Linked DNA regions of Canis lupus familiaris. The protein of the gene in region 1 purifies or fractionates together with the protein of each later gene. This does not show direct contact. Links are inferred from orthologs where the notes say so. Each region holds a gene or a part of one and is shown on either strand. Other genes may lie near its edges.

Region 1 (4,412 bases):
TAGTATTTTAGAAGGATGACCTATACATGTATATATAGTATACATATACACATTATATCTATACATGCATACATATGTTTAGTAAAGTATGCATTCAACATCTATTTTTTTTTTTCAACATCTATTGTATACATTTGTTATATCAGAGTATATAACGCGTATTATATGACATATATTTTTATATTTCGTTTCACATAAATTCTACTTTCAATTTTCTTTCTGGCTCTAACTTTTCAGAGATTTAGTTAATAGTCCTTTCTTTCTCATTTGCCCCAATTCTCCCTGCCCTTATTCCCTTACCCTATTTCCTCATTTTCCAACTTTTTTTGGCTCCTATTCCTGTCAAAATTGGGTTTAATAAACTCAAGAACCGTAAACTATACACTTAAGGCAGTTGCTGCTTGCTATCTTTCTCCTTTTGAGGCTCCCCACCAATCTTTACAACTTGGTTAGAATTGCAACTTCTGATCTGAAGAAACGGCACTCAGAGTTTTTGGGTTTATTTGCAACATGGGTACAAATAACTGGGGCTTATGTACCTAGTTCAGAAACCCACTCCTACTCCTTCCCCACACTTGTGATGAAAGAATAATCCTGTTTGCAGAAGAAATGCCCTACTGTCCGTATTCTCAGCAAAAGTTATCAGAGCTACAAAAAAAAAAAAAAAAAAAAAAAAAAGAAAAAGAAAAAGAAAAAAGAAAAAGAAAAGGCCTTGGTATTTAAGACTCAGTTCAGCTCTTCTCTTTTCCACTCTGGGAAACCTCCCTTTCAAAAGCCTTCCCAACCAGGTGGTGTTTGATGTTCCTGACCCTGCAGCATTTTTAAGAAAGATCAATGATCAGGAAGCAAGACCATGGGTTTTGAAGTCAGATACCTCGGGCACTTACACATTTGGGTATTTTTTTTCGCTTTTCCGAGCCTGCCCTCTGGTTTGTAAATTGCACGGGGTATTATCTGCTCTCCATGGTTTCCTCTGCGATGAAATCTTTCCTAAACCCATATCCGTGCTCATTTCCCTTTCATCTATTTTTCTTCCCGGGTTAGCTTTCCTTTGAAGCAACGGGCAGTCCCGCTCTTCGGGTCTTGACTCTCTAAGTCGGCCTCGTAGCGAGCGAGCGTAAGCTCCCCGAGGCCAGGGCCGGCGGGGTAAGCCGCGCACGGCCTCCCAGGCTAACCCGTCGCCGCGCCCAGTCCCGCCTAGCGCCGGGGGCTCGGCGGGAGGGCGGCGAACAAATGCACACCACCACCGAGGCTGGGGCGGGGGGAGCCGCCGGGAGGCCGTTCCCACCGCCCGCGGGGACCGCGACCCCCGCCCCGCCCCGAGCAGCCCTTCCCCCTGACGCCACTCGCGGGCGGGACTTCCGGCCGCCCAAGTTTAACCGTCCGGGCGGGAGCCGGAAGCCCAGCGCCGGAGCGGGCCGCGCCGTGGCCCCCGGGGTGCCGCGGTGGAGAGGTGAGGTTCCGGGGGGCTCCGCGCGCTGCCGCCCGCCGCGTCCTTGCTCGCTCGCGAACCCCGCCAGCCTTCCGGCCACCCCGGGGAAGGGTCGGAGGCCCCCAGGCCCCGCGCGCCCCGGCCCGTCCGGTGCTCCGGACAGTTGTCGGGCAGGGGCCGGGGCCGCGGGGTTGGCGCGGAAGTGCCCGGGAGCCGCGGGCCGGGGGCGCGCACCTCGGTGGGCCACGGTCCCCGGCTCGGCCCTGAGAGGTGGGCGGGGTCGCGGGGGGGGGGGCGAGCGGTGACGGGAGTGGGGTGCTGTCCCCCGGAAAGTTGGCCGCCTCTCCGCCGGCCGCCTCCCCCTTGTAGCTCGCATGCACCTCGGGCTCGCATGCACCTCAGAAGGTAACCCCGGCTGAGCAGTTCTCCTGCGAGGAAAGTGCACTTCGGGCGGAGGAAAGTTGAAGAACTTCTGTTGCAGCGAAGGGCTGTGGTGGATTGTGGGTTTCCGCCCTGTAGGCGCTGCCCCTAAATTCGGGTGGGCTGTCGCCTGCCGCCTCGCGTCCTGACCGCTCACTTTGATGGGACCTTGTTGGAGACGCTGATGTAATCAGTGCGTCTCCGTTAGGAGGTGCTCGGCTCCCCGAAGGCGCAGGTGGGGCAGGTGCCCCCCCCCGTCCACTCGAAGAGAAGGGAGCGGACATCCAGTGACTGCCGCGGCCCCTGGCCCCTGACTTGGGGGCCGATCCTGTGAACCCACTTTTTCTCAGCCTTCACTTAAATGTCACCTTTCCGCGCTTACACCACACGGCTCAGCAGGAGGGTGTACGATTGTAGTGAAGACATTTTTTCCCCAAGTTGTGTGTACTGGGTTTAAGAGACCCCCTTGGCAGCATGCACTTGCACCTTGAGCAGGGAACCAGCCGCACGTTACCACGTGTCGAGGCCCCAAATCCAAACACGGCCGGTCTGCATTTCAACAGATGACTGTCGGCGTTTGGAAACATTGAACTTAGCAGATGCGTGAAGCATAATGAACCCCATACGTGACTGTCCTGGTTAACAAAAGTTTTAGTCTTTTCATAAGCACATTAAAAAAAATTCTTTTTTGTCTCTTGAGAATCAAGTGGGCCCCATAATTTATTACACCTTTTAACTTGGCCTCTGAAATAAGATATACTGGACATAAATGTGATGCTTTGTTGGTGACTTGGGACTCTGTGACATCACTAGTATTGTGTTGTAGTCTTAACACTCCACACCAGGAAGGTGTGGAGGGTATATAGTTCTAGGCCCTGTTCCCTTCCTTTTTTCCGTATATTTTTGAGCAATTTTTTTTTAAGATTTTATTTATTCATGGGAGATACACACACAGAGAGAGAGAGAGAGAGAGAGAGAGAGAGGCAGAGACCTAGGCAGAAGGAGAAGCAGGCCCCCCTTGGGGACCCCAATGTGAGACTTGATCCCAGGACTCCGGGATCAAGACCTGAGCCACCCAGGCGTCCCAAGCATTTTTTACTGACTGGTCTGGCATTGCTTCTACTTGCTGTTCTTGTGTATTTGAATTATTTACTGTGAACAAATAATATGCATGAGGGCATTGTAGAACAAATATTGGTATAGGGACTTAGTGACATCTCTTTTGGCTATATTTGCTAATTTTGGAGTTATTGGGAAAAACTGGAGTCATTGGATTCTGACCCGCAGGGATGTTACAGTTTATCATACATTTTTAAAAGACATAAGAAGTTTTCTAGCCAACAGTTATTTGATTACTTGTGTGCCAGGAACATTTCAAGACTGATCGTAAACAAAAGACAAAATCCATTTTCAGGATCTTTGTTTTGTTCAAGTCAGGAGAGGCAGACATTGTTAGGAGAACAAATAAGAGTTGCAAATAACAGAAGATGCCATGAAAAAAAAAGAATGAAACTGCATAAAGGGTAACTGGTATGGGCTGTGTTAGCCATGGCGGTCAGGGAAGGCTTTTCTGAGGAGACATTTGAGCTGAGACTGAAGTGAGGTGAAGGAGATGACCAGAGGAAATCTGGGGAAAGGACATTCCAGGCAGAGGGGGCAGCAGATGGAAAGACTAAGGCAAGAAGGCCTGTGAGTCTGGTGGCCCTGGGGAAGAGGAGTAGGACAGTTTCACCGGAGCCAGGTCATGTTAGGCATGCCAAGGAAGTTGGATTTAGCTATAATTGCTGTGGAGAGCCATTGGGAGGGTCAAATGAGAGAATGTGATTTTAGAAGGATCATTCCAGCTACTCTGTGGTGAGCATCCCTTCTGGAACAAAAGTGAACCAGTAGAGCCTCTTGATTTAGATTAGATCCTTCATTTTGGCCTGTCCTTGATTACTTTTTTTTAAAATATATTGTTTTGAACTATTTGTAGGTGCAGTCATGCAGGAAAACCTCAGATTTGCTTCATCTGGAGATGATATTAAAATATGGGATGCTTCATCTCTGACATTGGTGGATAAATTCAGCCCACACACATCACCACATGGAATCAGCTCAATGTGTTGGAGCAGCAATAGTATCCTTTTTTTTTTTTAATTTAATAACCACTTTTTGTTAGGTTAAATAACTGGTATCAATGAAACTTTTACATGTGCCTAATAAAAAATACATTTTGCATAGCTATGAAAGCTAGATAGATAAAGTGAAATAGAGGTTTCACTTTATTGTTTATTATAGGTGCATCCTAAAAATATATATATTTTATATATGTATAACTATTATAACTAGATACAGACCATATAATTAGTTTTGTTATCAACAGTTCATCATTGAACCCTAATGACATAAGGTAGGTAATGGTGAGAAAACTTCTGAAAGATTTTGGAATGAGTTTTCGCATCTACATTTGGCTATTTATGGATCTGGTCTGTATTAAAATTAAAGACAGAACTCAAAGGCAGAAGCGAAGTTGGGGGAGGAGATAAAAAATAAAGTTGTGCAACATTCTCATCTTACT
Region 2 (3,434 bases), on another chromosome or scaffold:
ATGTTCTGCAGCCCCAGGAGGCAGTGGGGACGCGGAGCACAGCAGGGGTGGCCGGGGCCTGACCTGCATGCCTCTGCTGCCTGGACCTGACGCACAGCTGAAGGACCTGGGGCGTGGAGTGGTGGCCCAGCCAGGGGCGGGTGGGTGGGCCACCTGTGCCTCCGTCTGCCGGCACCCTGAGCACTGCCGCGTTCCAGGAGCTGACTTCACAAACACCTTCTACGTGCTGAGCTCCTTCCCAGTTGGGCCGGAGGCCCTGGGCCTGCCCGAGTTCCTGGCCGCGCTGACCGCACAGTGTGCCTCCCTGGAGGAGCTGAAGCTCGCCTTCCGACCCCAGATGGATCCCCGGTGGGTACCTGGGTCTCACTTCTTAGAATTTGCTTCCAGAGGGAGACCATGTAGACCCTGGGGAACGTCAGGGAGAGCTGGCCGAGGCAGCTTGAGCAGGGAGGGTTCGGGCCCCCGGGGGAGGGACGGCAGCGCAGCCACCGTAATGGGGAGGCTGGTGGAGCAGGCTGGGCAGCAGCTTCCCAAGAAGAGCTTGGGGCCCTGAGGCTCCCCCCAGCCCATGCTTTCCCACACTTTCTCCCACTGCGGGCAGCACACGGTGTCTGAGCCCACACTCAAACCCGGAAGCAGCGTGTTTTTAAATTTTATTCATGAGACCAAGAGAGAGGCAGAGACACAGGCAGAGGGAGAAGTAGGCTCCCTGCGGGAGCCCCATGTGGAACTCGATCCCAGGACCCAGGATCATGACTTGAGCCGAAGGCAGACGCTCAATCACTGAGCCCCCAGAAGCCCTGTTTGTGGGTTTTAATAAACAAGCCAACAGACTGTGGTCTGAGAGAATTTAGCGCAGCAGCGTGGGGGGAGGCTGATGGGATGGAGGACCAGCTGGTAGGACCAGGTCCCCCCCCCACCTCTTCTGCAAGTGGGAAGGACATGGCCTCGTGGCCACCATGGAGAAGCGGACGGCAGTGACCTTGCCCTAGGGAGAAGCAGGTGCCCAGCAGTAGCGAGATGGTGCCCTTACCCGCCCGTGGCACCTGCCCCCTCAGGGAACACGCGTCCCGTGACATGAAAGGGCTGCAGAGCCAGGATGAAGGGCCACCTCGCTGGTCAGGCCTGGGTCACCCCCTTGGGGGGCAGCCAGCTCTGGCACAGCAGAGCCACTAAAGCGGCTGCCACCTCCTCCGTGCCCCGCCAGCCAAGGGTGGGAACGCGCCTCACACTGCCCCTCTGCACAGGCAGCTCTCGATGATGCTGATGCTGGCACAGTCCAACCCTCAGCTCTTTGCGCTCATCGGCACCCGGGCGAACGTCACGAAGGAGCTGGAGCGTGTGGAGCAGCAGTCACGGCTAGAGCAGCTGAGCCCGGCCGAGCTGCTGAGCAAGAACCAGGGCCACTGGGCTGACTGGCTCCAGCAGTACAGGTGAGGCTACGGGCGCGGACTCAGGGCGCCATGTTCCCAGGAGACGCCACCCCGTGCAGGGAGCCCAACACAGGAGTGGTGCGGGGGAGGCGGAATCTGCTGGAAAGAACAACTTGGATGTGATTCCAGAGCCCGGCTGGAGAAGGACAGGGAGGGCGTCAGCGACGAGGAGGCCTGGCAGGCTGAGCGCATGCGCGTCATGCACGCCAACAACCCCAAGTACGTCTTGCGGAACTACATCGCACAAAACGCCATTGAGGCTGCAGAGAATGGAGACTTCTCAGAGGCAAGCTCACCCCCGTCCCCTCTCCGTCCTTGGGTCCCGCGGGAGGACAACCGGGGCAGGGGCAGCCCCTAAAACTCCTCTCCACCCTTCTCCAGGTACGGCGGGTGCTGGAGCTTCTGGAAACCCCTTACCACAGGGCCGAGGAGGCTGCTCGGGTCCCGGAGGCCACGGAGCCCGAGGGGGCCAGCGGGGCAGACAGTGGGGGGCACTCCTACAGCAGCAAGCCCCCACTGTGGGCGGCCGAACTGTGTGTGACGTGATCCTCGTAACGGCCTTGGAGGCCTCCACACATGGAGCCCCGAGGCCCTGAGGCCCCCTGAGTCCTTGAGGCGGGGCACACCTGTGGAAAGCCCACCCCGTCTCTCCATGACGGCCGAGACGTCCAGTCAGGCCCTGACCTGTCTCTGTCCGATGCAGACTCAGCAGCCCCACCCCACGCTCAGTGCACTCCCTACAGAAGCCACGTTGTGCAAGGACAAGAGCTCAGCAGAGGGAAGCAGGCCCAGGGGGTGGGGCCTCCCCACCCACCTTGCCACCCTTGGAGGGGCTGGCACACGTGGCTCCTAATGGGGAGACACAGCCCCCAATAAACCAGCCTCTCCCCCTGGCCCGTCTCCGTGTGGTTGCCCTGCCCGCCCCCTGAGGAGGAAGCGCCAGGGGTGGGGGGCACCTGTGCGGTGCAGCCTCAGGCATCCTGGTAGTAGTTGTTGAAGTTGATGCGCAGCAGGAAGTCCTCCAGGTGGGGCTGGTAGCCTCGGTTCACCAGCTTGGTCACCACTAGTTGGGGGGGGGGGGGGGGCAGCTCAGCCAGGCCCATGGGCTGGCTCCTGCCCACTGTCCCCAAGCCCACCCAGCCCTGGGGGACAGTCACCTTTAAAGAGGAAATGGGAGTAGTACTTAAAGGTGCTGTAGGACTGCTGCATGAGAGCGAAGTTGGGGTGCTCAGCACCCCGGGGGCCGCTGGCCGGGACCCAGGGCTGCGAGATGAGCTGACTACGGAACTTGAGGACAAGGCTGAAGATGCTGTGGATGACGTTCATAACGGGCGCAGCTTTCTCCGTCAGCAGGCCCCTGGGGAAGCAGGCAGCTGCCAGTGGGGGGCGCCCCCCACTCCCCCACGTGGCCCCAAGGAGCGGCCGCAGGCCCAGCGGCTCACCTGAAGACCGCCTTGTGCAGGTACTCAGCGTGCGCACGCTGGATCTCCTCCAGGTCGCCCACCTGCGCCAGCCGGGCACGGAACTCACACCAGGTGACGTGCAGGATCTGGTTGGCGATGTAGCCCTGGGTGACCTTGACAAAGTGCTGCATCTCGTGCTTGAACAACTGCAGCTGGCGGAACTGCACGGAGCCGGCGGCCTGGCTCACCAGAGCTGTGGGAGGGCAGAGGGTCAGCCATGGTGCCAACCGGGGCTCGCCCGGGGCCGGCTGGCCTCACCTGTGCGCTTGAGGTGGAAGCAGATGTCCTTGAGCGTCCACATCATCAGCTTCAGCTGCAGCAGGAAGGAGAAGATGCCGCTGTACCTGCTCAGGCAGCCCTCGGTGACCACAATGTTGAGGGGCCAGTCCACCTGGGGGTGAAGCCAGCTTAGCACGCCCCCCACCCGATGGGGCTGCCCCCCGGCTGGCCCCCTCGGCTCTGCCCTGCTGACCTTGTACCTGAGCTCCAGGCAGCTCAGGACGTCCGGGGCGTTGGGAGCAAACGCCTCGGGCAGGAA

The links.
Region 2: the proteins of NEDD1 (region 1) and TUBGCP6 purify together in Homo sapiens (affinity purification with mass spectrometry; 3 studies listed by BioGRID and IntAct, with this or other methods). This does not show direct contact. The link is inferred for Canis lupus familiaris from reciprocal best matches to the Homo sapiens genes NEDD1 and TUBGCP6.

Annotation. Positions count from the first base shown.
Region 1 is NC_049236.1:36,842,216-36,846,627, forward strand, and holds the start of NEDD1 (protein NEDD1), read left to right. Parts: upstream 1-1,323; 5' UTR 1,324-1,453; intron 1,454-1,682; exon of another isoform or gene 1,683-1,702; intron 1,703-3,827; 5' UTR 3,828-3,835; coding exon 3,836-3,971; intron 3,972-4,085; exon of another isoform or gene 4,086-4,244; intron 4,245-4,412. UniProt on the Homo sapiens protein: Required for mitosis progression. Promotes the nucleation of microtubules from the spindle.
Region 2 is NC_049231.1:17,930,315-17,933,748, reverse strand, and holds the end of TUBGCP6 (gamma-tubulin complex component 6), read right to left. Parts: coding exon 3,369-3,434; intron 3,288-3,368; coding exon 3,155-3,287; intron 3,090-3,154; coding exon 2,876-3,089; intron 2,791-2,875; coding exon 2,591-2,790; intron 2,497-2,590; coding exon 2,405-2,496; 3' UTR 2,390-2,404; exon of another isoform or gene 1,989-2,389; coding exon of another isoform or gene 1,815-1,988; exon of another isoform or gene 1,720-1,814; coding exon of another isoform or gene 1,563-1,719; exon of another isoform or gene 1,533-1,562; 3' UTR 1,434-1,532; coding exon of another isoform or gene 1,248-1,433; 3' UTR 799-1,247; downstream 1-798. UniProt on the Homo sapiens protein: Component of the gamma-tubulin ring complex (gTuRC) which mediates microtubule nucleation.